7 linked regions of the Ovis aries genome follow. The protein of the gene in region 5 purifies or fractionates together with the protein of the main gene of each other region. This does not show direct contact. Links are inferred from orthologs where the notes say so. Each region holds a gene or a part of one and is shown on either strand. Other genes may lie near its edges. The genes, in order: VCP, FBXO33, CRY1, FBXO42, CUL1, DCUN1D3 and FBXO21.

Region 1 (3,137 bases), on a different chromosome or scaffold from region 5:
ATGTGGAGATTATGTCTCCAGTGGGCTTAATCCTGTTGATCCCATATCTGTCCTTCATCTAAGTCACCTAATCCTGAGGATTTCTTTCTTTTCTTTCTTTCTTTTTTTTTTTTTTGAGGATTTCATGAAGCCCTTTGCAGTTAGGCAAAGAGTAAAGTCCTTTCTTTCCCTTATTCCATGTCATGTCCAGGGTAACCACGCATCCTGGTTTGCCTGAGACTGAGGGATTTCCCAAGTTATGGGGCTTTCAGTGCTAACACCAGACATTTCCTGGTCACAGTGGAATGGTTGGATGCCTTAGGCCTGGGCCCTTCTTCCCTATGCACCAGAAATGATCCCTGTCTATGCGTCATCTCACAGGTCGCTTTGACAGAGAGGTGGATATTGGAATCCCTGACGCTACCGGACGCTTGGAAATTCTTCAGATCCACACCAAGAACATGAAGCTGGCAGATGATGTGGACCTTGAACAGGTGGCATGTTGATGAGGGCTGGCCAGAAGTTCGGATGTCTTGTTGCCAGACAGTTGAAGGGAACTGACTAGGGACAGAAGCTTCAGATGTGAGGCGATTGATTTTAATTCCTGGGCAGGGAAAGGGAAGTGATCTGAGATTGAATCCAGGAAACTAGGTTTGGCATTTTTCTTGGTTTACTGAATTAGGGTGAACCAGAATATTGGGGGCAGCTTTATTTCCAGGCCCCAAGTGCAGGCTTGAATACTTAAGAGTCCAGCTAATGAAAGGGCTGCTGGTATGAGTTTAGGGAAATGGAGGACCCAGAGATAGGAGTCAGAGGAAGAGGGCAGGGTTCTGTTATCTAAGCCAGAATAGAGACATCTAAGCTAGGTCTCAGAGGCAGGAGAGTAAGTGGATCTTCTCTCTGCAGGTAGCTAATGAGACTCATGGGCACGTGGGAGCTGACTTAGCAGCCCTGTGCTCTGAGGCTGCTCTGCAAGCCATCCGCAAGAAGATGGACCTCATTGACCTAGAAGATGAGACCATTGATGCTGAGGTCATGAACTCCCTGGCAGTTACTATGGACGACTTCCGAGTAAGGGCCGCTCTCCATTTCAGGTGCACACACATGCACTTTGATCTCTTGCCTGGCAATTCTCATCCCCAATTTTTCTTCCCTTTTTAGTGGGCCCTGAGCCAGAGCAACCCATCAGCACTGCGGGAAACTGTGGTAGAGGTGCCTCAGGTGACCTGGGAGGACATTGGGGGCTTGGAGGATGTCAAACGTGAGCTTCAGGAGCTGGTCCAGGTAGGGTGCTTGGTCCAGGGTGGGTCACTGCTTCAGCACATTGTCATTGAGCTGGTGGTATTGGGGTGTTGACACATTGATTGCAGAAATTATGAGCATGATTCAGGAACCTGCTGTTCTGAGGTTGGAAGCACCAAGAATCCTGTCACCTTACACCATGAGATGGTGTGGGAGGATGCTTCTGTTAGGTTGGGTTTCTCTCAAACTGGGGGAGATAGCCCTGAATCCTCTTTCTTTTTCTTCCTAGTATCCTGTGGAGCACCCAGACAAATTCCTCAAGTTTGGCATGACACCCTCCAAGGGAGTACTGTTCTATGGACCTCCTGGCTGTGGGAAAACCTTGCTGGCCAAAGCCATTGCTAATGAGTGCCAGGCCAACTTCATCTCCATCAAGGGTCCTGAGCTGCTCACCATGTGGTTTGGGGAGTCTGAGGCCAACGTGAGGGAAATCTTCGACAAGGTGAGCTACAAGTGGCTGGGCTATCAGTTCACTTGCTTGGGAACAAGTTAGGGGTAGAGGTTGTTCTTTGGGAGAGTTAAGACCATCCCATTCTGACAGCTCAGTTAGGGCAGTGAAGGTCACTTTATTTTCCATTTTTCCTCAGGTCTGAGAGACCCAGTTGTGCTAATGCTCAAGTCCATCTGTCTCTCACAGGCACGCCAAGCTGCCCCCTGTGTACTGTTCTTTGATGAGCTGGATTCGATTGCCAAGGCCCGTGGTGGCAACATTGGAGATGGTGGTGGGGCTGCTGACCGAGTCATCAACCAGATCCTGACAGAAATGGATGGCATGTCCACAAAGAAAAATGTATTTATCATTGGCGCTACCAACCGACCTGACATCATTGATCCTGCCATCCTGCGACCTGGCCGCCTTGATCAGCTCATCTATATCCCACTTCCCGACGAGAAGTCCCGTGTTGCCATTCTCAAGGCCAACCTGCGCAAGTCCCCAGTTGCCAAGGCAGGTGCAAGGTCTTGGGTTGCAGGGTCGTGAATTTGCAGGCTGTGTGGAATGCTCCTTGGTTCCTGGACAAGGTTCCATTGGGGATTTCTGGGGTTATGGTTGAAAAGGAAAGATGGAAGATTTGAGGGTATTAAGATATCTAGAATAAGGAATAAAACTGGTGGCAGAGGATGGAACAAAGTGGAATTGGGAGTGCTTTGGTGGCTCAAAGATCAGTGTATCAAAAGAGGCTAAAAGCTAAGGTAGCTCTCTTGCTTCTTTTAGGATGTGGATTTAGAGTTCCTGGCTAAAATGACTAATGGCTTCTCTGGAGCTGATTTGACCGAGATTTGCCAACGTGCTTGCAAGTTGGCCATTCGTGAATCGATTGAGAGTGAAATCAGGCGAGAACGGGAGCGGCAGACCAACCCATCAGCAATGGTGAGTCTGCATCCTTAACCCAGATGTGCCTGTCTTAGGGAGCCAGGGGACAATCTCCACAGTGCCCTAGAGTGTACAGTTTTGGAAAGGTCATCTATCAGATGTTTAGCATGCCATGGAAGAGAAAATGCTGAGTACTCAGATAACCATGTCAATTGGGAATTACAAAGGCTGAGAAGAAATGAGCATAGAAACAAATAGAGCAGGGCTGAGAAGCTAGGATCTATGGACCTTTTCTTGGTGTTCCATGGACCCCCTGAATTAAATGCAGAATTTGATATGTATGTATATATAGGCTCAATAAAGATAGGGATTTTTGTTATCTCACTTGTTTCCCACTGTAGCATGGCACAGTGTTGGAAACTGACTTAATAAGCAAATAAGTGATTGGCTTTCTCTACCATTAGTGATGTTTCTCTCCCTCTCATAAAAGCTTATAAACTATCCAAAGTCACAGCAGTTGAGTGGCTTCTTGGTAGAAGAGATA
Region 2 (4,755 bases), on a different chromosome or scaffold from region 5:
TTCAAAATATTTCAATGAATTTAAAAAATAAAAAATTCAAGTCCAAGTCTCAACTTCCTAATTCATTGCTGTTTCCATTACTGCTCATTAATTCATTCATAAAATCATTATAAGAATTACATAGAAAAATATCTTGCAGACAAGAGGTTCAGAGACGTGCTCTACCACGAAGGAAAGCATTTTTTTGTTGTTGGTTTTTATTTGTTTTTACTGCTACCAAAAGTAAAACACATAACTCAGAGGTAACAACTCAGTATCACAGGCAACAAGACACCAAAAGGCATCAAAGCATCACGAATGGAGAATTTTGCCCTCAAAGAGCTAAAAACATTTTGTAGAACAGTTTCGTGAAGTTAATTACAAGAAAACTAGGCTGTTTCAAGATCATAGTTAAGGCTCTGAAGCGGCAGCCTCACTAATGCAATCTTCAATTGTTACATAAAATTACCTATTCCCTTCTGACTTCACTACCCTGTACAACCAGTTTACTACTTTCCAAGATGTGGTGAAGTTAACGGACACTCTTTCGAAAATCCCTCTCTCAAGCGAGGGCAGCCAAGCTAAAGAAAACCTTCACCATAACAACCAGCTTCTTTACACCTAGGGCTTCAAAACAGCGAACGCGGAGCCTCCCTCGAAGCCCAGAGAAGACGCCGATTATCGACTAGCAGATCTAACTCATTTGCCTTGTTTTCTCCTCTCTCTCTAAATCCAAAGGGTGGCGCTGTCCTCATTCCTTCCCCACACACCAGGTGAGCGCGCAGGTCCACTTCGAGGTCCGACCGAGGGGTGGCGGTGTCCACTGACGACTTCGGTCCGGCCTCTCCGCCGCCCCGGCCCGCGCGGCTCCTCTCCCTACCCAGCCCCTCCGTGTGAGCCCGCGAAAGCGCCCGCTCCCCTCCTCAGGGGCTCTCTCTCAGAAACTCTCCGCAACACTCGGGGCAGGCGGGACGGCTAGGAAGGACACAAGCCAGCACTCTGGCTCTGAGCCCTCAGCCCAGAAACACAGAAGCGTATAATGAAAAGCGTCGCGACCTCTCGCACCAACGCGAGTTAACGCCACTTCGACCGCCAGAGCCCCCAAGTTAACCGATTTGCAGACTTGACTGGACTGAGTGGTCTCTGAGAGACGGGAGAGGGCGCCCATCTGCCGGGATCACCAGCGCTTCCCGCCCCGCCCCACCGGCCTACGTGCGTCAGGAATCACGTGCCTCGTCTCCCTTTCCTACCGGCAAGCCGGCGCTCCCTTCCGGAAGTCGCGCCCAGTCACGCCCAGTCTCCTCCCACCGCCGGTGACGTCAAACTCAGCTCCTACCACTGCTGTGCCTCCGCCTCCAGGCGCGGGGAGGGCTCCCGGTTCCTTAAAATAAATCCTGCCGCTTCCGGGCTCATAACCAGTACAAGGGAGGGTTTTTAAGTTGAGGAGGGCGCAGGCCTCGGACGCGCGTGAGTAAAGTTTGACAGGCCAGAGGCTGGCTATCTGGAGGCCACCCCCGCATAGGCCTTTCCCCCTCTCCGCAACTTGTGCCGCACTTGGTTCCGCCGAGACCCACGACGGTTCCGCCCCCTTCTTCCTTGTCATTGATGTTGTTGTTCTTGTCAGTGCCGCAGCCCCGACCACCGGGAGCCCGAACCCGAGCCGGGGCCGCCCGGGTGGCGCGGTGGCGGCGGCTGCGGCTGCAGCAGCTGCGACGGCTGCGGGGGCTGCTCCGGGGACTGCGGGGGCGGCCGGGGACCGGCAGCCGGCGGCGGGGCCGAATGGCTCTGTGCGGGCAGGCGGCAGGCGCCGCGTCGCTGCCTAGCGAGCTGATCGTGCACATCTTCTCCTTCCTGTCCGCGTCTGACCGGCTCCGGGCCTCGGCCTCCTGCTCGCACTGGCGCGAGTGCCTCTTCTATCCGGCTCTCTGGCCCCAGCTCCGCATCTGCCTCCGCGTCTCGCCCGCGGAGCAGCCACGGCTCGAATTCCTCATGCGCAAGTGCGGCTGGTTCGTGCGAGAGCTGCGTGTTGAATTCGCCGCGGAGAACTACCTGAGCGGCGGCGGCGGCCCGGGCGATGGAGGCAGCGCGGACGCCGGGACTGGCGGGGAAGAAGTCGAAGCCCTGCAGCTCTCAACCCGTTGGCTGGAAGTGCTGCGCACCTACTTAGAGCTGGTCCTGTGCGTGCTAGTCAGCATCCGGAACAACAGGTAGGCTCTTCGCAACCCCTCCATTCCTCCTCCTCCCCACCCCCACCCCCGCCTCCACTTCCCGAGGCTCAGGGTCGTCTCCTTCCTCTCACCTCGAAATAGATTCAGTGTGGAAACGCCCCGCCCGCTTCAGCGTTGCTTTTTTCAGTGACTAGGGGTGTCAGTTCTAATCCGGAGATTTCCTTGAGGCGGGAGGACATAACAGGACTCATCCTAATACTTTATAAACAGTGATGGGCTTGGTGTTTATCAGACAGCACTCCTGGCGCCTTCCAGGCACTGTCTCATTCATCCTTGAACGGCAGCAGTGGGATGGAGTTGACAGGCGCGGTCATTCATTTTACAGATGAGAGCTGAAGCTTGGAGGGTGAGGCCTGAGAATGAGTCTGGGGAGAAACAAAACTAATTTGTGTTTTTGTTGTTATTGTTTTATTCTGAACCTATCCGATCAAAATAGTTCGTGGTGGCGGAGGGAGTAGGTATGCCACAGGTTTCGCATGGGTTCGAGACTCTCCCAGCAAAAAAAGAAATCTTTGACAGCCATTTTCTTACCGGGAATGGTTTTAACTAGGCCAGGCACAAAGAGTAGGAGGAATTTTTTTTTTTTTTTTAAGGGATCAGGGTACTGCCGGATCATCAGGATTAGAAGGTCCCTCCCTTTTGCACCTCCAGACTCAACTTGTCCCCAGTGATTCACCTAAAAGTAGCACCGTACAGCTTGGTGTTTGCGTGTGTTGGGGGAACTGGCCAGTGTCTGCAAAGAGTAAGCCCAAACTGTCCTGATTTTGCATCAAGACTTTGCTGTAAATCTGGGTCTAACTTCCTGTGTTCTGGCCCGTCGTCCTCATCAGTCTTTTCCATTATTTATCTATCGCCCTCTCCAGGATCCTATTAAGGTAGATTTTCTCTATCTGGACATTCTAACTAAGCTTAAAATTAAACTGTGAGGTAGAGGAAAGTTCATAAGTTCAAAAAAGGAACAACTTAGGTAGCAGTAATAGTTTAGCAGTTTGCAAGTAGTTTCACATTCAGGATCTTATTTGATCCTTTCAGCCGAACCTGTGAGTTAGGACAGCTGCTATTATCCCTGCTTTATAGAAAGGAAACTGAAACATAACAGGGTCAGATAATTTGCACATTATTTCATACAGCATTGTTTTTCTCTGACAGCAGTGTACTTCGTTTTGCTGTAAATACATTTCGTTGAACAGGATGGAGTGAAGGTCCTGGTTATGCTAAGTGAGATGGATATATCTGTATTCCTAATTCTCTGAATCACAAGGGTGGAAAATAAGCATTAGCTGCAAGTTGTATCTGGAGCATGGCTGCATCATCCCAGTATGCTGTGTATTTTCCTAGCTTTTCACACCAAGCCATTTTATTTCCTCACTTTGCTTTTATGTGGCAAAAGAGGCCGTTTAAGGCCATAAGTTGGTCTTGATCATGTTGGAGACTTTCTGTCAGAGTTGGATGTGTGGCTGGAGGCCCAGCTGACCCAGAGATTAGAGTCAGTAGTGAGCACTTACTACTGATGATTCAATGGAGGGTAGAAGTGGGGTGGCTTCTTTATAGAAAGGAAACTGAAACTAACAGGGTCAAGTAATTTGCCAGTATCAGTTAGATTTTTCTTGAGATTAGATAGCAGTTCTGAGCAGTCATTTAAAAATGCATGTCTTTTGTCCAAGTAAGAACCCACTTTACAAAGTTTTTATCTAGTTCCTTTTAACTGATTGGTTGGTTGGACAGGTAAAGGCAAAATAGTAATATATCACATCTTCCCTTTGTTGTTTAATTTTTTTCCGGCTCCCTTCCTCACCCCTATCAATTTTTATTTTTTTAGCTGTGTGTGTTGAGGTAAAGTAAACAAATAAAAGTGAACCTACCTCTTCTTTAGCATCTCAATCTACTTGTCTATAAGACTGCTCTCTAAATAATCTTTATATATTTGGAAAGAAAGTCTCAGCTTTATTTTTGAAAATATTTTGAGATACTCTACTAATATGGGAAGTACTAATAAGGATGTTAAAAATTTAAGTGAAACTAATTTTCTTCAGAGAAATTTGAAAATGTTTTAAACCAAGATGTTTATTTGATAACTCTGATAAAGCCTATTCTTGTTTCCTTCATAATCACTTAAACATCAAACTCAGGCTCAATGAAGAATGACTCAAATGCTTTAGTGTTTAGTGTTCTTTGATTTTCTAAAACCATAAAATTCAATAATTAATGAGAAAAATCAATATTTGACATTGTTCTTTCCATTTCCAAGGTAAATGTTACAATGCTTTTGCCTTATGATTTCTACCATTTTTTAGGTAGAAGAAGAGGATGTGAACTTACCAAGTCACAAACTTTATGCTTCCTCCTTTATGTTGAACTTCATACAATTCAAACTTTTATTTTGCTGTGTTTCAGTTATTTTCTTGTCTCTGAGTTAAAGAACTAAAACCATAACCTTGAATTGTGGGAACTTTTCAAGGGTACTGTTCTGAGATAATAATTGGCATTTTGTTTTGCTTAATTCCTGGATATGCACATGTACTCTCAGTGATTGTAGCCACCTTACCAA
Region 3 (4,933 bases), on a different chromosome or scaffold from region 5:
CTTTTCTCTTCCTCTCTCTGTGTACCTCCAGTACTTTAAATAGTGCCAGTTTCATTCAATAAGTGATTGTTGAATGAACTTAAAGTTATTGCATGCCTAAGGAACAGCGATTCCCTTGTAGTTCAGTCCCTAAATAACCTGCCTGCAATGCAAAAGACCCAGGTTCGATTCCTGCGTGGGAAAGATCCCCTGGAGAAGGAAACGGCAACCCACTCCTTGTCTGGAGAATCCCATGTACAGAGGAGCCTGGCAGGCTACAGTCCATGGGGTCGCAAAAGTTGGACACGACTTAGTGACTAAATCAAGGAACAGCAAGGCCTGAAGTTCATTGTCCTTAGAGGGGTAGGCAAAGTCCCATCGCAAAGAGCCCTGTAAACCGCACTAGGTGTAAGAAAGGAAGGCTGACATGTTGACAACACAGAGATACTATTAAGGAGTTCCAGGGATGCCTGGCACCACCCTCCGAATTAATCCTCTTCCCCAGAGCTCATACAAGGATCCAGTAACGCTAGGGGCACAAGAATGAGAAGGGAGCCAGCTCTATACACTCCAAAGTAGGGTTGGGTTCTCCAGCTAAAGCTGGATGGAAACACATGTTTTGGGCTCTAAGTCGATGTGGAGCCTCCTACTCTGCTCTTTCCACTCCATCCTGCCCTCACTCATTCCCCGCCGGATCCTCGTTCCGACTCCTGGAAGACACCGCGATGTCTCCACGCCTTCCGCGAACTCCGCGGGAGGAATCCCCTAGCGGGCTCCGGATCGCCGGCCCCGCCCTCCTTGACTCCGAAACGCAGCGAGAGCGCACGCGCGCCCTCACGGGCAGAGCGCGAGCTCTCTAGCTCCCCGCAGCCCCGTGCTCATCCGGGTCTCAGCGAGTCTCAGCCAATGGTGGACGTTCACAGCCCCCGAGGGCGGGGCTAAATTTTCCCTCACATGGGGCCTCGGCTCACTCTGGGCGCTTTCAGGCAACCGCGATTTGTTGGCCGAGAAAAGGGACAGAGGCAAAGTGTCTAGCGTCTGGGAGAGGACCGATGGATTTGACATGGAGCAGCTGCCGCCTCCTAGAAGCGACTGAAGTGCAAGCTGATACCCCAGTCGGAGCCGCTGTAGTAAACACACTTCAGAAACGTGAGGTGCCGGTGGTCACGTGAGGAGTGCGCCCTCCAATGAGGAGCCGAAGGCGGGGCTGAAGCCGCTGACGCGGCGGTGGCGGCGGAGTCACCCGGGCAGCCTCGGGACGGGTCACCGGCCGGCAGCGGTCCAGCGGCCTCGACCACCGCCTTGCGTGCTCTGTCCTCACTTCTCTTACCCGGGCCGAGAGGCAGCGTGGCCGACAGTGACTGAATTCTCTCTCATCCTTGTCGGTGGCTCGCCTCAGGCGGGGCCGTCTGCTCCTCGGGGGCCGCCTCGGTGGGCGAGGTTTCCGTGCAGAGAACCTCTTGGGGCTGCCCGCGCCCGCGCGGGCCGTGGTGGAGTCTCGGGCTTGTGGAACTTGGTCAGCCTCCAGAGGTCCGGGGACCTCGAAGTTATGCGTCTTTTCCAGTCTGTGGCGGCGGGTGCCGGCCCCTAAAGGGCGTCACACCGGGACTCCGCTGACTGGGCAACCTCCATTCATCTTCCAGCTGCGCCGCCAGCGCCCTCTCCCTCTTCAGTCCCTTCCTCGGACTCATCTTTTCCTTCCCCTCCTCTGCTTTCCTCACTCCTTGGGTGCGGCGATTCTCCTGCGTTCGGAGTTGTCGGTTATGAGCCGGACCCTCCCACCCTGAATTTCTCGGCGGAGGAGCTCGGCGGCGCCGCACCGCGGCACGCCCCCCCCCCCGCCCCCAGCCCCCGGGATGGGGGTGAACGCCGTGCACTGGTTCCGAAAGGGGCTCCGGCTTCACGACAACCCCGCCCTGAAGGAGTGCATCCAGGGCGCCGACACCATCCGCTGCGTCTACATCCTCGACCCCTGGTTCGCCGGCTCCTCCAACGTGGGGATCAACAGGTGGCGGTGAGTCAAAATCCTGTGGGAAATTGATTTCGCTGTTTAATGAATCAAGACTTTACATGCCATCAGCCAGACCTGAGAATTGAAATCTTGCACCGCCTTGCCCGTACTGTTTGAATTATTGCAGGTGCTTTAAGTATTAAATAGAACGGACTTAATAGCCTTGAGGCGAGAGAGTTCCGGCAGCCTGAAACACCTTGGCCTTCAGGTGTGAGTTACGTGTCTCTGCGCTCGTAGGAATTCTTCCCCTGGATTTATGGAGAATTCTTAGTGGTGGAGTTAAAGAAACACCCTTCCAGTTCTCAATGGCCCGTGTGTTGATTTCCTTGGCCTCTGTGGCATTTGGGGTTGCGGTCTTTAGTGTTTACGTTTGTGTGTTAACTCATAGTATGGAGAAAATCATTCATTCAGTAGAGTCCCCTCCAAATCTAGTTTTCTTCCACCTTGAGGTTGCCAGAGGAAAAGCAAGGGACATTTCTTTGCTCAGTTCTTCCTCTCAACTCCTCCTTGTGGTTGAATAGACAAAGCACAGTTTTTCTTTCTAGGCAAAGTATAATCCTTCCAGGATTTAGAGCACTGGAAGAAATCTTAGAGAAGCTTTATGATCTTTTCCTGACATGCCAGGCCAGATGATTATTAGGCCCCGTGGTGGAAATGAAAGCATTCTTTCAGCAGAGTATTGATCACCTGCTGTATACCAGGGCTTCCCTTGTGGCTCAGCTGGTAAAAAAAAAATCCCCCTGCAAAGCGGGAGACCTGGGTTCTATCCCTGGATTGGGAAGATCCCCTGGCAAGGGGAAAGGCTACGCACTCCAGTATAATGGCCCGGAGAAATCCATGGACTGTATAGTCTTTGGGGTCTCAAAGAGTCTGACACGACTGAGCGATTTCACTCACAATCACTTACAGCCACAGCTTTAAACACCAGGGATACAGTAGTGAATGAAACAAATAGAAATTCTTGTCCTTTTCTAGCACATGTCCCAGAAAGTATGTAGTAATGTAGTAGATGATAAATGATGTGCGGAAATACAGCTTTTATGTGTACAAGGGAGTGGGATTGGAATTGGGAGTTTAAAATATGGTGATAGGGAAAAACTCAGAGAAAGGGACAGTTGAGCAAGATGATGAAACAAGTAGATTACAGATATCTAGGGAAAAGCATTCCAGGGAGAAAGAACTAAGAAAAAGGGCCTGAGGTGGAATATGCTTAACCTTTGGAAGGAACAGCAGAAGAAGCCAATGTGACTGGAACAGAGTGAGAGGAATAGTAGTGTATGAGGTCAGAGATGTAATAGGGCCAGACTGAGTAGAGCTTTATAGGCAGTTGTCAAGATTTGGGCCTTTACTTAGATGAAAATAGGAATAATTCTAAGATTATGAGCAGAAAAGTGATGTGATTTGACTGAAGGTGTGTTTTTTTTTTTTTTAAACTTCTCTGGCCGTGGTTCTGAGAACAGACCCAAATTGTGGGGTGGAGGTGGACAAGAAGCAATAAGACAGGTTAGGAGTCAATTGCATTAATCCAGGTGAGATATGATAATAACTTGGACCATAGTGATTGTGGTGGACATAGGGAGAAGAAGTCAAGTGCTGAGTGTATTTTGAAGGCAGAATTCACAGTATTTATTGACAGATGTGGTGTGAGAGAAAAGGAATTAGGAATAATTTCAAAATTTGATTTGAGAATCTAGAAGGGTGGAACTGATCTTTACTAAGTGGTCAGTTGAAGAAGCCATTGAGAGGGTGCTTTGAGTTTTCTTTTGAACTTGGTTAGTATGAGATGTTTATTATGCATCCAAGTGGAGATAGCAGATAGATATGTCTAGAGTTAAGGTTAGAGATCCTGGCAGGAGGTATAAATTAGAGATTCATCACTTTATAGATAACATTTAAAACTATTAATCCATTCATATATTGACCAAATATATTGTATGGATCTACTATGTGCTAGACACTTTTAGGTGCAGGACATTAAACAGAATAGCTAAAATATCTCTGCAGTGTTGAAGATACATTCTAGTAGAGCTGTGAGACTATATGAAAACATTATGTGAATTTATACAGATAGAAAAGAACTGAGCCTGGGTACTTGAATGTATTTAAATTGTGGACGTGTGGAAGAAGTAGCATAGGAGTTTGAGAAAGAACATCTGGTAAGCTAAGAAAACCTGAAGATAATGGTGTCATAGAAGCCAAGGAAAAAAGGACAGTGGCTCAAAGAAAATGTTTGACCTTTGTCAGGTTGCTCGTCGTGTGAGATGAGGACTGAAAATTAAGAATCATATTTAGCATTTTGAGATCATAATCTTGATTAAAGTGGTTTCAGTAGTGTCAGGGGCAAAAGCCTTTTTGGACTGGCTTGAGAGAGGCTGAGAGGAGAGAAGGTGGGGATAACTCACATAGATAGCTCTTTTAAGTTTTCCATTGGGGGGGAATCAGAGAAATGGTGTAGAAGAAGGTGAACTCAAGAGAAGATTTTTTTTTTTTTAAAGATGAGAGAAATTACAGGATATTTGTGTGCTCATGAGAATAATACAGCAACTGTATATAAAACATTTTCATTAGCAGAATTGGTGTCATTGATTCTGGAAAAAGATAATGCATGTTATATATTCTAATCTATTCATATCTTAACAATAATATAGTAATAAGTCTCTCTTCATAATATTGTTAGGAGAATTAAATTAGTTAAAAGATGTGAAATGCTTAAAATGTGAGTGGTGCTACTACTGCTACTACTAAGTCATACTAGGAAGTGCTTATTTGCTGTTTGCTCTTAAATTGAAAGTCCTAGGTAAATAGTATCTACTTAAATGCCTACAGTTTTAGCATTTTAAGACTAAAACTGATAAGTATAGGAATCCCTTGAATAACAAGGAGATCCAGCCAGTCCATCCTAAAGGAAATCAGTCCTGAATATTCATTGGAAGGACTGATGCT
Region 4 (4,135 bases), on a different chromosome or scaffold from region 5:
TAAAATAGAGAGCTCTTGCTAAACTGAGGCTGCTCCCGAAGCAGGGTCACAGAAGCGCCCTCACGCGCACCTTCCCTCCACCCTCTCTCACCCGATGTCAAGTGTTTGGAAGCCCAGGCCCTCGACCTCTGGAGTACAGACACTGGGAAAACCCAGCGGAAAAGCAGAGCATAAAATTGCACCACAGAGCCTACAGTACTGTTAGGCTCACGCTCTTCCCTACTCTGGCTGTAAAATTAATATGAATCCTCATTTATATTCCCTTCATTAAAAACGTCAGACAAAACACAATCCTCAAAAATAGTTTTTGCAAACATGACCGCCGGCAAGACGGGACCTGCTTTCAGGATAAATACTTACTGTGTGAGAACCGCTGGGTGATGGGGGTCCCGGGATAAGGGTATGTCCGACTCTCCCACTGGATGTTTCCTTCCTGAACAGCCTTTATGAAACCATGGTAACACTGGTGAGCTACACCTAAAGACAAAAATAACCAATGCCTCAGCCTGGACTCTTCACTTATAAACCAAACTATTAAAACTGAATCTATTGTCTTATCACTTTTTTAAGATGTAAGTTTCTTTGCGGAACTCCAAATTTCTTTGATTTTCTTTCATTCAAAGACAGAAAACAAAATCACATAAGCTCAAAACTGGAAGATCTAATCTTTAGATTTTACCAAGGTTAAATGACTCCCTCAAGGTGACAAAATCAGCTCACACTTTAACTCTGCTCCACTTATGCCACATCATAAGGAAACATATCAAAATAATTGGTGCTACTTACTCCAAAACAAAGAGACTTGGGAGATAATTTAGTTTTGTGAGAAAAAATACAGTAAAACAATCTCTGAAATATAACAGCTGTTTAGTAAATACCTATGGTTAGACCACGGATTCTCTGTAAAACAAGGAGATAATAACTAGCTGACAGTGGATTACGAAATGATGAATTTATAACTGAGGAAAGCTGTTTAAAAAAAAAAATCAGAGTTTTTACTATAATGCTGGATACATGTCATTATATACATGTCCAAAGTCACAGGATGTACCCCCTAAGGTAAACTGCAGATTTTGAGTGACAATGATACATCAGTGTTATCAATGCAGGATCATCAATCGTAAAACGTACCACTCTGGTGAGGATGCTGAAAGCGGGAGAGGCTGTGCGCGTCTCGGGGCAGAGGGTATACGGGAAATCTATGACCCGCGCAATTTTGCCGTGAACCCAAAAACCACTTAAAAAAAAATAAAGTCCATTTTTTTAAAAAGTGAGAGCTTCATACTTCTGGAACAATCTGTTTTTCCAACACATGAAATTACTATCTTATTTCAAAGAGAAGCGTTTTGAATGAAGTGTACAATCAATTATTTACACTTTGAGAGAATGTCATTCTCGAATTTATGCCACCTTGTGGATCCTTAAGTAGGATCACAGAACATGTTTTCCGGTGATGACCATTCTCCCTTGGCTGAACTCACAACAGATAAGAACTGGAATATTAAAAAGACATGACCATTTTCAATGGGTGACCATACTGCCGACTATACACTGGTGAAGTAACACAAATTTTCAAGTCCTGGATTGAGGTGAGGCCGTAGTGAATAAAAGACAGAGACATAATGATCGAGGGGAGAAAACCCTGTGCTGGCAGTGACTCCCCCAGAAGATCCAAGACTGAACACTACGTCAAGGTTCTTTTCTCTTGAAAAAGAAAAGAGAAACGATAAGAATGCCAAGAATAAATAAGCATCTTTGATTAGATCGCCACCCCCATGTATGACTCTTCCTCCTCTATTTTCGAGGTGACACCATCCACCTCCGTAGTGCAGGGAGCCAGCCTCTCCTGCAGAGTCCACTAGCTCTGCAGCAGAAGCAGGCTGCGCACGCCGACGCCACCAGGTGTGAGCAGATGCGCGCAGGCCTGGGGCAGCTTCCGCACAGCCGGAGGGCCCGGGGCAGCTTCAACTCAGCCGGCCCTTATTAGCCGTTGAGGCTGCACTCCAGACAACTGATAAAGACCCTACTCCTCAGAGAACCTCTCTGGTTCTAGGAAAGATTTTAAGACTGATGCTGATCTAAACCTTTTCCCTCTCTCTTCTCTCTGGCTGCCTTGCTCACATCAGCAAAGAAAAAGTCAATACAACCCTTGCTTTGATCAAAGACTATTCAACTGGCTTGGCCATCTTCATTAAAAAAAAAAAAAAGGCCCTTTCTACCTAAAACAAAAATGACTGTTATTAATTCAAAATACAGGGGACTGCACTGATGGTTCAGTGGTTAAGACCACTCTCCAGCACAGGGGTGCAGGTCTGATCCCTGGCCAGGGAGCGAAAGACCCCACATGCCTCACGGTCAAAAAACCAAAAACAGAAGCAATATTGTAACAGATTCAATGAAGACTTTAAAAATGGTCCACACAAAAAAATTTTTGAAAAAATATATATAATTAGTAACTTCAACATTTAGTTAAAGCTGAAATCTTGATTAGAAAATGGAGGGGGAAAAAGGGAGAAATACATTTTAAAAAGTAAAATACACACATAGGACCTGGGCTGTTTAGACATAAAATCAAGCATCAAATGCTTTCATAACTCCACACCTACCATAAACAGCTACTTTAAGCTATTCACAGGTTGCTAGGTCAACTGCAAAGCGGTCACGACAGTCTTGGCAATGTGAGAGTTGTATGGAGGTTAGCTCTTACCGTCAATCCACGCTCATCCCTACTCTGCCTATTCCAGAATAATGCAGTTTACCGGATCAACTCCAGGAATATGCAGGAAAGAATCCTCATTTTAAAACTTCAAGCTGGATTAAAAACTACAGCATTCAAGTTGTTCATAAAACTAGGCAGGATAAAGAGAAAGGAAAATGTACAGGGCGAACTGTCTACCGCTGTTTCAGAACCACGGTGAACGGAAGGGAGGAAACAATGGAACAGAGATTAAAAATCATTCAAAGAAATCTTAAATGGGTAAATAAACCTGTGCCCTTTCCAAAGTACCTTTAATCAGTCGATACCACTGCTTGCAGACGAGGGCTGCAGTTTTGTGCTCCTGGTATGGGGAGAGGAAGGACAGGATATACTCCAAAACCTCTTCTGGCAGCTCAGACATGGACCTGTTATGCCGAGTCTCCTCGGCCTCCAGCGCCGCGCGGAGCTCCGCATCTTGCTCCATGGCCCCTTCCAGCACGCTCTCCTCTTGGTCCACAGCCATGAAGCTGTCGTCTTCGCTGTCCGAGGAGCTGGCCATGACATCCCACGTGACAGCTGCAGCGGGAGAGAAGCACACGCCAGGGCACACTTTCTCAAGTTCTGAACTAGCTCAGCGCTTGCAGCCATGCTGGGCACGACCTCTTTCAGATGCTCAGAATGAAACCTGTCCTTTAGCACTTCCCCACACTAGCCGCGAGCGACCTTAATTTGTCAGGCACACCTCAAATGCCAAGCCCATCCCAAATATCTAAGAAATCTCTAGAGGCTTCTGATAGTGCTTTTTTCCCTCTTCACTGAAAACCTAGAGTGTCAGCCAAGTTCCGGTACAACCATAAAACCAAAAGACTTGTTCTCAACAACTCCTCTAACTCAAGGGCACGGTCCGCAATAGCAAAGGGCGCAGCAGCTAGTTCCCTTAGCCCGAAATATGATTCAGGACCCAAACTTAGGAGAAGAAACTAACGGTGCACCCTAGGAGAGTAAAGGAACACTGAGGATGTGCGGATAAGAAATGATAGGGTGTTTCTTTTAGCTTTGATACAAGACAGTTCACTTAAGAGGATAATAAATGTTCTAATAACAAGCTTAACTAGTGTAATACCAAATACAAGGCAATATTTAAAATAGGAAACATCGAAACAGATCTGAGGAGCTAAAAACTGAAAACACTCTAAATACCCATCAACAAGAGAACAGATAGACCGTGCTACGTTCATACGAGAGAGCCCTGTTGGGGAAGGAGCCACAGACACTCGGGGGCGAATCCTGACGCGGAGCGAGAGGCAGGATAGCACATACTACATGTCCAACCTGAACATGAGGCAAAAGCCACTGACGTACAATATCTTAAAAACTGGAAAGAGTGACCGCAGCAAGAAGAACACGAGTCAAAACTCACGAAGTTGCTCCTGACAC
Region 5 (3,955 bases):
CGTTGGAAGAAACAAACAGCAAAGGGAAAGTTGACCCACTCAGCTCACGTGTTAGCTGTGGGGAGTCACAGACAGGACGACCATATTGGATGATGAAATGGCAGAGGACAGGTTAGACAAACGGGAGATGAGCTAACCTGTCCTCTGAGGAAAGCTCGCAGCAGTGAGGGTCTCAGAGAAACCATATGTGTGCAGCCTCCCATATATGTGTACATATATATGTACAAGCCTTCCATTTTTACCTTCAATTCTCCCATGTGCCCATGAGAAAGTTAAATACATCTAAGCTTCTTTTGAATATTTAGAAGTATAGGATATTTGTTGCTGTTCTGCCGCTCAGTCCTGTCCAGCTCTTTGCAGCGGCATGGACTGCAGCACGCCAGGCTTCTCCGTCCTTCACCATCTCCCGGAGTCTGCTCCAACTCATGTCCATTGAGGATATAAAGCACGAATTTAAAAATCCTTAAATAGGCTGAGATCACATACTCTGGTGACAGGTACAGACAAATGCCATACTTTTAAAGATAAAGAGTTGTTGACAGAAGGCCACATTTCAATAGGAGGAACCGCATATACAAGTATGTCTTAAGATATTTCTTCTAAGAGACATCCATATTCCTCAGGAAACAGTGAGGGCTGTGGGAGTAGCCCTAGGCTCTGGGCCTAGCATTTCCACCCCAAGGTGATACTCAATGTTTTAGTTTTGGAGCAAAACAGGAAGTTACAGTCATCAAGTCTTTGGCCCAGATAACCTGAAATCTTTCCATGCTGAACTGTTCATGGACCATGGGATTAGAGAAGAAGCCCCTTCAAGTCCAAGCTTTCTCACCTGTGTCCCCACAGGAAGCCAGGTGGCCATTTGCGCTGCCCAAATTTGTATTTCAGGTAACCACTTGTGAGTTAATTTCAGATGAATGAGACGAACGACTCCGCAGCACTGGTGAAAACAGTCCTATTCAATAGTCATACCTCACTCATCCCATCCATATATGTAAGATCTTCAATTTCATTCTTCACTTAATCTTTACAGAGATTAATGGTAAAGTGTCTTTGTCGACCTCTGTTCAAAAAAGAGTGGGTTAGAGAGTTTGAAGAGGTAAGCTAATTTGGTTTGATCTCCGAACCAATTTTAGAGAGAGAGAGAGACAGAGAGACGCCGAGGAGCTGGGACTTTGAGGTGCCGATCCACGAGGCCGCAGGTGTCCTGGGGTTCAGAGAATGGACGGCACGTTTCTCTGGAGTCTGCTGCGCCTGCCTTTCAGGGCCACTCGCCCATCTCTGACTTTTATCAGCCGGTCGGGGTATGGCTTTTGGTTATCCTCCCGCCGGGAAGGTAGATCCAGCGGGTGTAGTTGTGATCCGTGTCGGTTCAGTGTGTGTGCGCGCAGGAGCGGGGGAGGGCGGCGTGTAAGACCCTCTGCTCCGGGGTGTTTCGGGCCGGTTTCTCCTCAGGCTGGGGCCCCGACCTAGGAAGGTGACCACCCCCGCCCCCTCCTCGTTCGGCCCAAAGTGGCGGGAAGCCGGGTCCTCAGAGGCGGCCCCCAAGGCCAGGGAGGCAGTAAAACCTGGAGGAGGATCCGGTGCGCCCGTCCGGGGAGGGTGCGGCGTCCATGGCCAGGGGCCCGCGGGGGCTTTCAGGTAGAGAGCAGCCCCGCGAGCGGGGCCTCGGCGGCGCGGGGCGGCGGGCGGGGTGGGGAGAACTCGGGGCCGCGGCACGGCGGGCGGGGGCTTTCGGGCCCCTCCCGCTCCGCGGGGCTGGTGGGGAGATGGCGGCGACGGTTTCCCGGCTCCCCCGCCCCGGACGCCGATGGCGGAGCGTTCCGGCCCTCCCCCCCCAGCTTCTCCACCGCGGGAGCCGGAGCCGGTGAGGCCGGGAGGGCGGGGAGCGGCGAAGGGAAGGAGAGAGGGCGGAGGTTGCGTGGTGCAGGCGGCGGCGGCGGGAGGAGGGCCGGCGGGCGGGCCGGGAGGAGGAGGAGGAGGAGGAGGCGGGAGCCGTGTCGCACGCAGCTCCAGGCGGGGCAGCCCCGGCGGCTGAGGGACGCGGCGAGACCTTGGCGGGACGGGGATTTAACCGGGGCCGGGCCCAGCGACCAGGTGGAGACGTCGCCGGAGCCATTTAGGCAGCCGGGAAATGCGGGTGAGTTGTCGGCGGCGCCGGGGCTGAGGGGAGGCGGCGGCGGCGGCGCAGGCCCGACCCGGAGCCGCGGTGTCGCAGTGACTGGGGCCGCGGCGGCCGAGCTCAGGCGCCGGGCGAGAGGCCCGAGGCGCCGAGCCGCGACCGGGCGGAATGGCGGCGGGGGCCGGGGCACTCGTGGGCAGAGGGCGCCGGGGGCGGGAGGGGAGCGCGCGCGCGCGCGCGCGGGGTCCGGCCCTGAGTCACCCCGGCCGGCTCGGGCCTGGCGGGCCGCGGCCCCGGACGCGGGCTCGGGGCGGCCCAGGCCCGGACTACGCACTGGGGAAAAAAAAAAAAAAAGGCCCGATTCATCGCGCCCGAGGCGGCGGCCTGGTGGCGTCCGCCCCTTTCCCAGCGCGACCCGCCTCGGGCCGCGGAGCCGGGCTGGCGAGCGGCCCCCGGGGCAGTCGGGCGCGCGCGCCTCACCTCTCTCCAGGCGGCGACCACCACCCCACCTCAACCAAGGGGTGCCCGAGCCCGCGCCCTCTTTCCCTCGGCCCCCCTGGGGACCCACCGCTCCCCCGAGCGTCGCTTGCCCCCGACTCGTGCTCTCAAGTAAAGTACTGGGCTTGCGCGCCGGAGGAGCCGCGGAGCCGGGCTCTCTCTGCTTTCCGGTTCCCTGCCCCGCGGCTCCCGGGTTTCCCCGCCCGCATTGTTGCGACTGTGCAGGGCGCTATTATTGGGTAACAGTCGCCCCTTTGCCCGGTTCTCCTCGGGGAGCGGGCCCGGGGCGGCGCGCAGGGATGCGAGTGCGGCGGCCGAAGCGGACGGAGCGCCCCCCCCGCCCCCCTCCGCGGCGGCCGCCGAGCGCCCGCGAGTCGGGCCGGGCCTGCGCCGCCGCCTCGGCGCGCCCCCGGCCCTGCACCCGGCGGGAGCGCGCGCTGACCCCGCAGGTAACCCGGGCGCCGGCCGGCCGCGTGCAGGGGTCGCCCCGCGCGCCCTTCTGGCCCCCCGTGTGCTGTATGCCTAGTGCTGGTGGTTCCGGGCAGAAACGCATGGTGAACGTTCCTTGAGCCTAATCCTCCAAAGTTGAGGGTTTTCTCCCTTTAGCGAGCTCTCTGCCAAAAATAGGATCCTCTTTTCGGATTGGATCACTGTCGTTGCTCACAGTTCGCAGCTGGAGTTAGTGGTGAGGGTGCAAATGAGGAATTGCAGTTAAGTGTTTATTTGCTCTGTGTAATTGCTCTTCGCGCAGTGGCATTAAAACAGTCCAAGTTAGTGGAGTCAGGGGTCACGTAGTTTTGGAAATGCACTCATCGGAGTGACAGAAGGGACTGAAATTCACTTTTACTTGAACCCCCAGCTTCTAGACCTCAGCATAGCTTTAGCAGTCTGCAAAAGCATGGCCAGGTGTAAGTTTAACGCTTCATTTTGTGGCCACCCTGTTTTACCTGGTTTTCTGAAATCCTGCAGCGTTTATGGATTGTGTAGAAAAAATAGGGGGCATTGTTTAAGAAGCAGAATTTAAAAAAAAAATTTTTTTTTTAATCTAAAAAATTTGGACCTAACGTTCTCTTGATCTAAAAGGGTCCTTGGGTATTGAGAAAATTTTTACTTAAAAGTCTGTTGCTTTCCCTGGTAAGTCGAAATAGTTGCAACGCATTTCAAATTCTGAGGCATGCATACAGCATGCAGGAGACTGGCTTGCTTTAACTCTATTATGCCCATTTTTGGAGGTTTGTAGAGAGAGTGCTCTTTAAGCTCTAGAGGGTTGGCTGAAATACTCTAAAAATATTCAACTTTTTTTTTGTCATTGGAATCATCTTTTAAAAACTTAACAAA
Region 6 (4,857 bases), on a different chromosome or scaffold from region 5:
TAGTGGCCTTCCTCTCTCCCACTCCGCCAAGAATATGTTTTAACACATAAACATTTAACAGCACAATAGCTAAGCCAAAATTGCCCAATTTCAAAACTTCACCAGCATTCTTAAATTTACTTTTTATTCCTTGATTAACAAAGAAAAATAGGGCTTCCCACAGAGGACTTCCTCTCTATCTGCACTCTTCTTAGGTAATTTAGGAATAAATCGCTACATTTATTATCTCTCGAGTTTTCCCTTGATTTTCACATTTAACTTCTCAACGTCTTTACCTGGACAGTTAACAAACTTATCAAAACTAGTATGTTTAAAAGAATAGAGTGCCTTCCAAACTATTTTCTCTGAGGAGTCATCTTTGGTTCCATTCTTTCACATACACTTCATATTCAATTTGCCAACAAGTCCTGCAAGTTCTAGTTTCAGAATATATTCTGAATTTAATTCTTCCAGTTCACTGTCACCTCTCCCTTGGCCTACTGCAACACCTGCCAAACAGGTCTGACCACTTGTACCCTTCTCTATCCAGGAGCTAAGAATGATTTTCTAAAACTGTAAATGAGATTTGTCACTCCTTCTTAAACCCTCCAGTAGCCCAACAGTTAAGCTCTCGCCCTGGGCTAAGCTATGCTTGATCAGGCCATGCCACTTCTCCATCACAGACCACTCTGGCTCTTGTTCTTCCCTTTCTGGTCCAAGCATCTGACTTTCTCGCCTTTTCCTTCTGTAGATACCTTCCCGTTGCTTCTTTTCTCCATCTATAAAGCTCATTCCCTAGCTTCCCTCTTTTCTGGGATTTTTGCAAACCCGGCCTCCTCTGAACAGCCCTATCCGATTTAGAGTGGTCCTCCCCTCATCTTCTGCACTTCCCTTGTGGCTCAGCTGGTAAAGAATCTGCCCGCAATGAGGTAGACCTGGGTTCGATCCCTGGGTTGGGGTCCGAAAGAGTCGGACACGACTGAGCGACTTTCATGTTCCCCTTATTTTCTACCACTTCCCCTGATATTACTTCCTTTGGGGCATTTACTTGCTGATATCTACCTTATTGATTTACTTTTTAAGTTACTCCCGGACTCGAAAAATTCACGTAGCAACGTCTTTCGTGGACCAAGGGATTTAAGAAGCTAGTTCTCATTATCTTAGAAAATCTCAGTATCGTGCAGGGTACTCGTTTGTCAACCTTCCTCGGCTAGACGCCTCGCCTCCGGATTTGCCCCTATTAATCTCCCATTCATCAATACATTGGGGGAATCCAAAGGACTCAGAGATGCGCCCCAAATCGGCATTTCAGCGTTCCCAAACCAGGCCTCCCCTTCCTGGCCCTCAAGCCGCTTCCTTTAGCAGGTTCCTGAGGCGAGCGGCGGTGACACCAAGCAGCCCTCGCGAGGCTGGGGTCACACTGGCTCGTCTCCTAGCAACGTCGTACCCCCCACCCCCACCCCATCCCTGCCCCTGAGGAGTCCACCCCTTCCCCGTTTCCCGCGCCAGGAGTCGGCGTCTCCATCCTCAACACTCACTCTGCGTCAGTCCAGCCTTCCCCCACCCACAGAAGCCCCGCAGCCTCCGGCAGGCTGGGAGGAGGCGGCGCCGGGAGCGCAGCTGAGCGGCGGCGGACTGAGCTCTCTAGCAGGTCTGGTAGGCCAGACCGGACCGAACCACCGGACGGACTTCTGTGGGAGCATTAGTCCCAAGTCGAGGGTAGGCTCGACCTTTCGTTAAACTTCAAACTCTAGATCACGCTCCGCCGTATACCCAACAAGATAGCCAAACTAATCCTTTCTTTAATTTTCTTTTCCACTTTCCGTTCTCCTCTCGCCACCCCATTCCAGCGAAAAAAATGGTCCACTCCATCTCTTCCTAGCCCTCCCTCCGCGTTGCTAAGTCTTTGCCCTTACTTGGCGACAGCTTCGTACGTCTTTGCGTACGTCATGACGCAAACTGCCACTCGTTCCCTCCTCTCTCCTTTCCTATTCCGCCTGCCGAAGCGGGCGGCCTGCGGGGTTACCGGAAGTGATGATGCAGGAGGCGATGGAGGGGGCGGGGCTTCGGGGCGGCCGCCGCTGGTGGGCGGCAGATGAAGGGGAGGCGGCGGCAGTGGTGGGAGAAGAGGCGGCGGCGGCGGCAGTGGAGCGGGTAGGGAACCTGGAAACGCGAGCGGGGATGGTAGGTGTTTTGGACCCGCCGGGCCGCCGTCGTTTCCAGAAAGGGTTTGACTGGAGGAACCTCTGGAGCAGCTGTGAGTTTGAGGGGGGGTTTGAGGAAAAGGGGAGGCTTTGGGAGATGAAGGGGCGGGGGCTGGGTACCTTCGAGAAAGGGAGGGGGGGTGGAAGGGGAGGCGTGGAAATCAGCTTCTTGTCTGGACTGGTCCCGCTGGAAGGAGAGGCTGTGAGGGGAGCCTGTGGCGTGTCAGCCGCAGGGCTCAGAAAACTTACCTACTGTCCCTGCCTCCTCACCGCCAGCACCCCTCAACCCAGGGCCTGGGGCTCTGGTGGCCGGAGCTGCCCTGGAGGGGGTACAGACTCTGGTTCTCTGCGCCTTGTAAGCGCCGTGAGGTAGGAGCCCAAACGAGAGGTGGTGGGTGAATCTCCAGCTCCCTCCGCCCTCATCTACCTCCCCACCCCCATCTTCCTCTTTAATCATTAACAGCCCTGGAATTAAGGGGCTCAGACCTGAAGTCCTTCCTATGCACCTTTGCTGTATACGATAACCATCTGTGCCTGAGGTGATGGGGCTGGAAGCTTTGCCCCTATCCTGTATAGGAAGTGGGACAGAGTGACAAATGTATTGTTTTTTTTTTTTTCCCATTTCCCCCCCCCCCACCCCCCACCATCTTCTCCCGTGCATAGCCCTCCTTTCCACTTTAATTCTCCGTGACTAGGTGGTAATTGTGGTGTTTTTTTTTTTTCTTTATTGCTTGGTATCTTAGTTACCTCTTTTGAATTTGGTGTTCCGCCTCCATCCCAGGTCTTAACTGCAAGCTTTGTAATACTTCAGTTACAAGCTGTCTTTGGGAGTACCTCTCAATCCGTGGTTGCTTCCGATTAAACGAGCGTTTTATCCTCTGAATACTGGAATTCCAAAGCCCTTGCAAAGATTCCTAAATGGCATCATAGCCCAGGAATCAAGGTCTCTTGCTCTAAATACTTTATGTGTGAGGAATTTAAATGTTGTCAACTCTTTCCAAAATGATTTGATGTTAGGCTAATTCTAGATTGCTTGTTTCTCTCCACCCACACTTCATGATGCACTTTGGAGAACAGAAAACTCCGTATTACTCTTTTGTTTCTACAGTTGGACAATAGCTCTCTTATTTTTTCTTTTGTGTGTCTGGCACACAAGTCTTCAGTGACACATTTGGCTTGTGCAGATTTCCATATTATTTATTTAGCTTATTCTTTGTGTATAGGTGGTCTTACATGAGACAGCATGATTTGCTTAGTTTTCTTTCAGGGAAGAATACAAACCAGTAACAGATGTGAAAAAATTATTTGGCAAAGAATGATTTGAAAAGAAGATCTCTTTGTTGATGTTTTGTTGGTTTAAGGGGGGAAAAAAGTAGTGCTTCTTTAGCCTGTAGTACGGATTTCAGAGTGAAGTGTAATGATTTCTACTTTGGTGTTGATATTTTCTTTGGAAGTCCTTTTGAGTCTGGAACTGTTTTCTAAAGAACTTGAAGAGGTGGTTCCCAAATTTTAGGGATCCTTTGATGATTAGAAAGTGTCTGTAAATCCTGTCCCTCTGTAACTGAGTTTATGTGCATATTGCTAGAATTATCATAACGGGTTCCATCCTACTCATCAGGGCTTTCAGGCCTGATAAAACAATATTTAATGCTTTCATTGTACAAGTAACAGCATGTTTGGATGTTTCACAGAAATGCAACAAAAGAAAAAAATGACTACTGTTCTCACCTTAACTGATTTGGAATCATTGAGTAAAAAGTCCAAACTTCATTCATTCAGCAAACATTTATTGACAGGGCTACTGGTTGCTAGCCAGTATATTAGGCAGTGGACATACACAGAGGAATATAGCAGTAAGGTCCATGCTCTCATGGAGCATACATTGGAGTGGGGTGGGGACAGATACATAAGCAAATTGGATTTTGATAAGAGCTGAAGAAAATCAGCTCTTATCTGTAATTGTGAGTGCTGTGATAGGAAGTGTCTGACTGAGATACAGTCTAGACCTTTCTGAGAAGGCAGCACTGAAGTTGAGCTTTAAATAAAAAGGAGCCAGCCTTGCAAAAATACAGGAGGAACCTTCCAGGTTTAGGGACTAGCTAGTGCAGAAACTGGGCTGGAGTATGGCAAGTTCCAAGGAGTGGGAAGAAAGGGATGATGAAGAGGAGGTCAGGGAGGATTAGGGGTAGGAGTAATAGCTAGAGCCTCGTGATCAAAGAGAAGAGTGAAAAGAGTCTAGGTCAGAGAGATGGAGGCTGAGCTCAGAATGCTATGCTATGCTAAGTCGCTTCAGTTGTGTCCGACTTGGTGTGACCCCATAGACAGCAGCCGACCAGACTCCCCCGTCCCTGGGATTCTCCAGGCAAGAACACTGGAGTGGGTTGCCATTTCCTTCTCCAATAGGTAGACAAAATAAGAGCAAGAAGGAGAAGGATATAGAAAATGATGTTCCTTTTAATTCTGTTGTTTTTCCCAGAGTCTTGCCACATACTATTTTAAGGATACTCTTATTAGAGTATTGTCTGGAGAAGGGAACAGCTACCCACTCCAGTATTTTGGCCTGGAGAATTCCATGGATTGTATAGTCGGACACGACTGAGCGACTTTCACTTTACTTAGAGTACTGTAGGGGGAAAAAGGTCACCCTGCTGAGAGTGGGAGAGGAGGAGGCAGT
Region 7 (4,135 bases), on a different chromosome or scaffold from region 5:
CGAATGACCACTGTTAAGAAAAGGCAAATGTAAGAACTTATCCCATGATTCTTACTCGTTTCAGGCGCGGTGTATATTGACCAGTACTGCAACCCTCTCTCTGACATCAGTCTCAAGGACATCCAGGCTCAGATTGACAGCATCGTGGAGCTTGTTTGCAAAACCCTCCGGGGCATAAACAGTCGCCACCCCAGCTTGGCCTTCAAGGCAGGTGTGGAATTGCTTTGGATCCAGCTGTATTTATAAAAGAAAAACCTAGAGTGATTGGTTAATTTGGGAAATTCTGCAGTGCGTTCCCATTATGTCCCCTCAAAGCGATAGATAACACAACCACCGGTTCACCCGAATGATGTCAGAGGCTTCAAACACATAGTCTCTTTTCCACCCAGCATTGGCAACACCTGATGAGCCTTCCTAGGACGTGGCCAGTGTCTGCACGTCGGGTTGTTGGGGACACTCCTCACAGCGTTATTTGTGCTTGTGTCCTCAGAGTAGGTCTCTGTGTTTCAGGCGAGTCCTCCATGATCATGGAAATAGAGCTCCAGAGTCAGGTGCTGGATGCCATGAACCATGTCCTGTATGACCAGCTGAAGTTCAAGGGGAACCGAATGGATTACTACAACGCCTTGAACTTGTATATGCACCAGGTAAACATGGGGGTGAGAGGAAATACTGTTATAATATATGTAGGTGGAGCTTACCTCTGATGAACTGTACAGTGTTTGAGGGCAAGGACTAGATTTTGTTGGTCTGCCAATGCCTGGTGAGACTCATTTTTTGCCTTTCCTATAAGGATATTGCTGTGGATTTTATCTGATTCATCACAGTGCCCCCTCTTGTCTGAAAACCCTCGAAGTAAATTCCTGGCTAGAAATAGGTACGCCTCTGACTCAGTGTGGTCAGATCGCTTCTTGTGAACAGTAAACAGTGAAACTAAGCAGGTCTCCCTTCTTGCACTGGCCTGCAGGGAGACTGGAGGAAATGAGTGACCGACTGCGTCATTGATGCTTATTTTTTGTTTGCTTTCTACCTCTCTGTTTTTATATCTGTTCTGTTGCTCTCTCTCAGACCTGTATTTTCTTTTGTCATATCTTACACACTTTTCTTTGAAATACCCTTAAGTTCTTCCTAGACAAAGGAGGGCCTAACCATAGGTCTATAGACTTTTGCCGTGAAGGCCAGACGGTGACTTCTCTCGACCTGGCTCCTCAGGCCAAATGCTGTCTGTCCTAACCGCTCAGTTCTGCCCTAGTCATGTGAAGCAAAATGCAAACCATCCAGAAACAGAGGAGTGTGGCTGTGTCCCCGTAGAACTTTGTGTGTGGACGTGGACACGTGAATTTCACAGTTTTCACATTTTATGAAATAGTGTTTGGTCAACTTCTTGTAAACATTAAAAAAATGCTAAAATTTTTCTTAAGCAGGCAATCCAAAAACAGCTTATCGATCTGATGTGGACTGTAGCCCGCAGAGCCCTGACCTAAATAAATAAAATACTCACCCATTTAAGTCTGCAAACCTATCCTCGCACCTGCTGCACAGTGGGCGCCGACTGGGAAGGTGTGTGGAAGAGGTGAGAAGGTGTGGTTTTCTGTGTGAAGCTAAAGCCTGCTTTCTTCTCTAGGTGTTAATCCGCAGAACAGGAATCCCCATCAGCATGTCTCTGCTCTACCTGACAATTGCCCGGCAGTTGGGGGTCCCACTGGAGCCTGTCAACTTCCCCAGCCACTTCTTACTAAGGTGGTGCCAAGGTGCAGAAGGGTAAGCCGTCTCTGACCTCGCGTGATTGCCCTCTGCTGAGAGAAGTGTAGCAGCGGAAGTTGTCAAGGGGACCAGGGTGGTGAGAGCTGGTTTGCTCTTGATTGTATCCAGGTCCATACTCTGTTCCGGGGAGAAGGGCAGTGTGCATTCTTCTGCCTTGTTTCTCCCAAGGGGAGTGTGACTCTCCAGTTATCTCAAAGAAAACAGTTTACTTTTGAAGGACTAACAGTTCAGGATCTTGTATGAATCTCAGTCTCTCTGTTCCAAAGCAAATCAGCGACAAAGAATTCTTTTTTTTTAAGGTTTTTTTTTTTAATTTTTTTAATTTTAAAATATTTAATTCTTACATGCGTTCCCAAACATGAACCCCCCTCCCATCTCCCTCCCCATAACATCTCTCTGGGTCATCCCCATGCACCAGCCCCAAGCATGCTGTATCCTGCGTCAGACATAGACTGGCGATTCGATTCTTACATGATAGTATACATGTTAGAATGCCATTCTCCCAAATCATCCCACCCTCTCCCTCTCCCTCTGAGTCCAAAAGTCCGTTATACACATCTGTGTCTTTTTGCTGTCTTGCATACAGGGTTGTCATTGCCATCTTCCTAAATTCCATATATATGTGCCAGTACTGACAAAGAATTCTTAAGCTATTTCTTCCCAGTCTTCCATAAAACCTCCCACAGAAGGGAGGTGGGGGTGGGGTGGGGGACTCAGAGGGAACTGGGCTGGGGAGAGGGAACTGGGCTGCCAGGTTCTTAATTTGCAAAAGCCAATAGGCATGTTCTCAGCAGGGGAGCTCCTTCAGGCAAGGTTAGTGCCTGCTTTGCAGACCAGGTTAAAGAGTTTTGTTTTGTTCTCTTTTTTTTTAAACCTGGTATCCTGTTGGACGTAAAGCTCCTTTACAGCAGTAGTCTAGCTTTTTTGAAAGCAGTTCATCAAATGGGTAGAGATGCCCTCTCTTTAAAAGTGCCCTTTAGAGGGAAAAGAAACAAAGTTATTTGATTACATCCTGTTATTTGAGACTACTTCCTGATGACTGGCCCTGGTACCCTTCGCTGAAGTGATGAGCAGAATGAAAGAAAGTAGCTGAGCTTTGAAGTTCAACTGGGTTCAGACCTCAGCTTCCTCTGGGCTTAAGTTTCTTCCTCTGTAAAACGGGGCCGATGTTTTTCATACAGTGGTTTGGAGGGTTCAGTGAGAGAACCCAAACGCTTTACACATGTGGTGGAATTCTGTTGCTGGTCTGTGTTTCCACCTCTGGGTTTGGGAAATAAAACACCTCCTTGGTATTCTTCTCCATTCTTTTCTCCCTTTTCTCCTTTCTAGAGTTTAGTTTGAAAGTATTTATTTCCATGCATATTTTTGTATTCTATGACATGTGTGTTTCCTTAAATAGGAAGTACAGGCTTCCCTTATTTCCCAAATATAATCTGTTTCTTCAGATGTATTGGATAGTTTCTCTGTGGGAGAGTAGGCACCCATTTTCCATTATTTTAAATGAAAAAAAATGCTTTTTCAGCCCATTCCCTCTCCCTGAGTAACTCAACAACTTCCCCAAATATCTAAAACGTCCTTAAATATTTATATTATTTAATGGTCCACCAAGGACTTCTGCATGATACAGAGCATTTAAAACACCAACTACCATGTTATTGACCGCAGTAACCCATTGCTGGGCACGTTTGTGTGTGCCAACAGGATCGTGTGTCCTTGTTTAGGCTCCAGTGAGTGTACACCACATTGCAGACGAACAGTGAAGGGGTTTGTTAGCACCGCAGACACCTGGCAGATGCTGAGACCCGTGAAGGTGTGGCCCGTGGGGGCGCGCGCGCCTGCGGGGCCCTCGGCCTCCATGTCTGCACCGAGACCATAGTGCTTGCTGACTGTGACCGTATCGTGAGTCTTAAAGACTAGGCGGCTGAGAGCCGCGTGGAGTCCTTCAAAATCACCCTGGCTCCTCTAAGCCTGAAGCCCACGCGCAGCTTTAGAGTCTGTGGTCAGGCCCTTGAAGCTCTAGTGTGGCAGCTGGCCCCAGAGCTTCTCTGGACTCACGGATTCACGTGAGGAGCATGGTGTATGTGTCCCTGCTCCGTCTGTCTGTCTGTGAGCACAAATGCTTCCACGTTGCAGTCATCTTTAATGTCCTTCAAAGGATTTTACTCTTTTCTATAGCCAGCTCTTTCACATCTTATTAGTTATTCCTGGGTACCTTTACTTTTTTTTTGCTATTGAAAATGGTCATTGTTTAAATGACACTTTTTATGTATTGGTGGTGTACAGGGGTATGGCTGATACTTAAATCTGGGTTGATTGTTGGCCCCTCTGCTGAATCAATTATTAGTGATAATAATTTGTTAGGGTTTTCAGC

What was found.
Region 1: the proteins of CUL1 (region 5) and VCP purify together in Homo sapiens (affinity purification with western blotting; 4 studies listed by BioGRID and IntAct, with this or other methods). This does not show direct contact. The link is inferred for Ovis aries from reciprocal best matches to the Homo sapiens genes CUL1 and VCP.
Region 2: the proteins of CUL1 (region 5) and FBXO33 purify together in Homo sapiens (affinity purification with mass spectrometry; 4 studies listed by BioGRID and IntAct, with this or other methods). This does not show direct contact. The link is inferred for Ovis aries from reciprocal best matches to the Homo sapiens genes CUL1 and FBXO33.
Region 3: the proteins of CUL1 (region 5) and CRY1 purify together in Homo sapiens (affinity purification with mass spectrometry; 4 studies listed by BioGRID and IntAct, counting the BioPlex papers as one, with this or other methods). This does not show direct contact. The link is inferred for Ovis aries from reciprocal best matches to the Homo sapiens genes CUL1 and CRY1.
Region 4: the proteins of CUL1 (region 5) and FBXO42 purify together in Homo sapiens (affinity purification with mass spectrometry; 9 studies listed by BioGRID and IntAct, counting the BioPlex papers as one, with this or other methods). This does not show direct contact. The link is inferred for Ovis aries from reciprocal best matches to the Homo sapiens genes CUL1 and FBXO42.
Region 6: the proteins of CUL1 (region 5) and DCUN1D3 purify together in Homo sapiens (affinity purification with western blotting; 4 studies listed by BioGRID and IntAct, with this or other methods). This does not show direct contact. The link is inferred for Ovis aries from reciprocal best matches to the Homo sapiens genes CUL1 and DCUN1D3.
Region 7: the proteins of CUL1 (region 5) and FBXO21 purify together in Homo sapiens (affinity purification with mass spectrometry; 6 studies listed by BioGRID and IntAct, with this or other methods). This does not show direct contact. The link is inferred for Ovis aries from reciprocal best matches to the Homo sapiens genes CUL1 and FBXO21.

What each region holds. Positions count from the first base shown.
Region 1 is NC_056055.1:53,409,077-53,412,213, forward strand, and holds part of VCP (transitional endoplasmic reticulum ATPase), read left to right. Parts: intron 1-360; coding exon 361-473; intron 474-885; coding exon 886-1,050; intron 1,051-1,140; coding exon 1,141-1,263; intron 1,264-1,510; coding exon 1,511-1,723; intron 1,724-1,918; coding exon 1,919-2,227; intron 2,228-2,494; coding exon 2,495-2,650; intron 2,651-3,137. UniProt on the Homo sapiens protein: Necessary for the fragmentation of Golgi stacks during mitosis and for their reassembly after mitosis. Involved in the formation of the transitional endoplasmic reticulum (tER).
Region 2 is NC_056071.1:47,043,211-47,047,965, reverse strand, and holds the start of FBXO33 (F-box only protein 33), read left to right. Parts: upstream 1-1,580; 5' UTR 1,581-1,584; coding exon 1,585-2,186; intron 2,187-4,755. UniProt on the Homo sapiens protein: Substrate recognition component of a SCF (SKP1-CUL1-F-box protein) E3 ubiquitin-protein ligase complex which mediates the ubiquitination and subsequent proteasomal degradation of target proteins. Probably recognizes and binds to phosphorylated target proteins.
Region 3 is NC_056056.1:175,963,956-175,968,888, reverse strand, and holds the start of CRY1 (cryptochrome-1), read left to right. Parts: upstream 1-1,835; coding exon 1,836-1,993; intron 1,994-4,933.
Region 4 is NC_056055.1:249,502,899-249,507,033, reverse strand, and holds part of FBXO42 (F-box only protein 42), read right to left. Parts: intron 3,275-4,135; 5' UTR 3,258-3,274; coding exon 3,008-3,257; intron 478-3,007; coding exon 361-477; intron 1-360. UniProt on the Homo sapiens protein: Substrate-recognition component of some SCF (SKP1-CUL1-F-box protein)-type E3 ubiquitin ligase complex. Specifically recognizes p53/TP53, promoting its ubiquitination and degradation.
Region 5 is NC_056057.1:113,064,576-113,068,530, forward strand, and holds the start of CUL1 (cullin-1), read left to right. Parts: upstream 1-1,155; 5' UTR 1,156-1,301; intron 1,302-1,557; exon of another isoform or gene 1,558-1,864; intron 1,865-2,011; exon of another isoform or gene 2,012-2,137; intron 2,138-3,955. UniProt on the Homo sapiens protein: Core component of multiple cullin-RING-based SCF (SKP1-CUL1-F-box protein) E3 ubiquitin-protein ligase complexes, which mediate the ubiquitination of proteins involved in cell cycle progression, signal transduction and transcription.
Region 6 is NC_056077.1:19,175,003-19,179,859, reverse strand, and holds the start of DCUN1D3 (DCN1-like protein 3), read left to right. Parts: upstream 1-1,676; 5' UTR 1,677-1,698; intron 1,699-2,039; exon of another isoform or gene 2,040-2,573; intron 2,574-4,857. UniProt on the Homo sapiens protein: Contributes to the neddylation of all cullins by transferring NEDD8 from N-terminally acetylated NEDD8-conjugating E2s enzyme to different cullin C-terminal domain-RBX complexes and may play a role in the cell cycle progression by regulating the SCF ubiquitin E3 ligase complex, after UV damage.
Region 7 is NC_056070.1:57,941,627-57,945,761, forward strand, and holds part of FBXO21 (F-box only protein 21), read left to right. Parts: intron 1-64; coding exon 65-211; intron 212-510; coding exon 511-647; intron 648-1,624; coding exon 1,625-1,761; intron 1,762-4,135. UniProt on the Homo sapiens protein: Substrate-recognition component of the SCF (SKP1-CUL1-F-box protein)-type E3 ubiquitin ligase complex.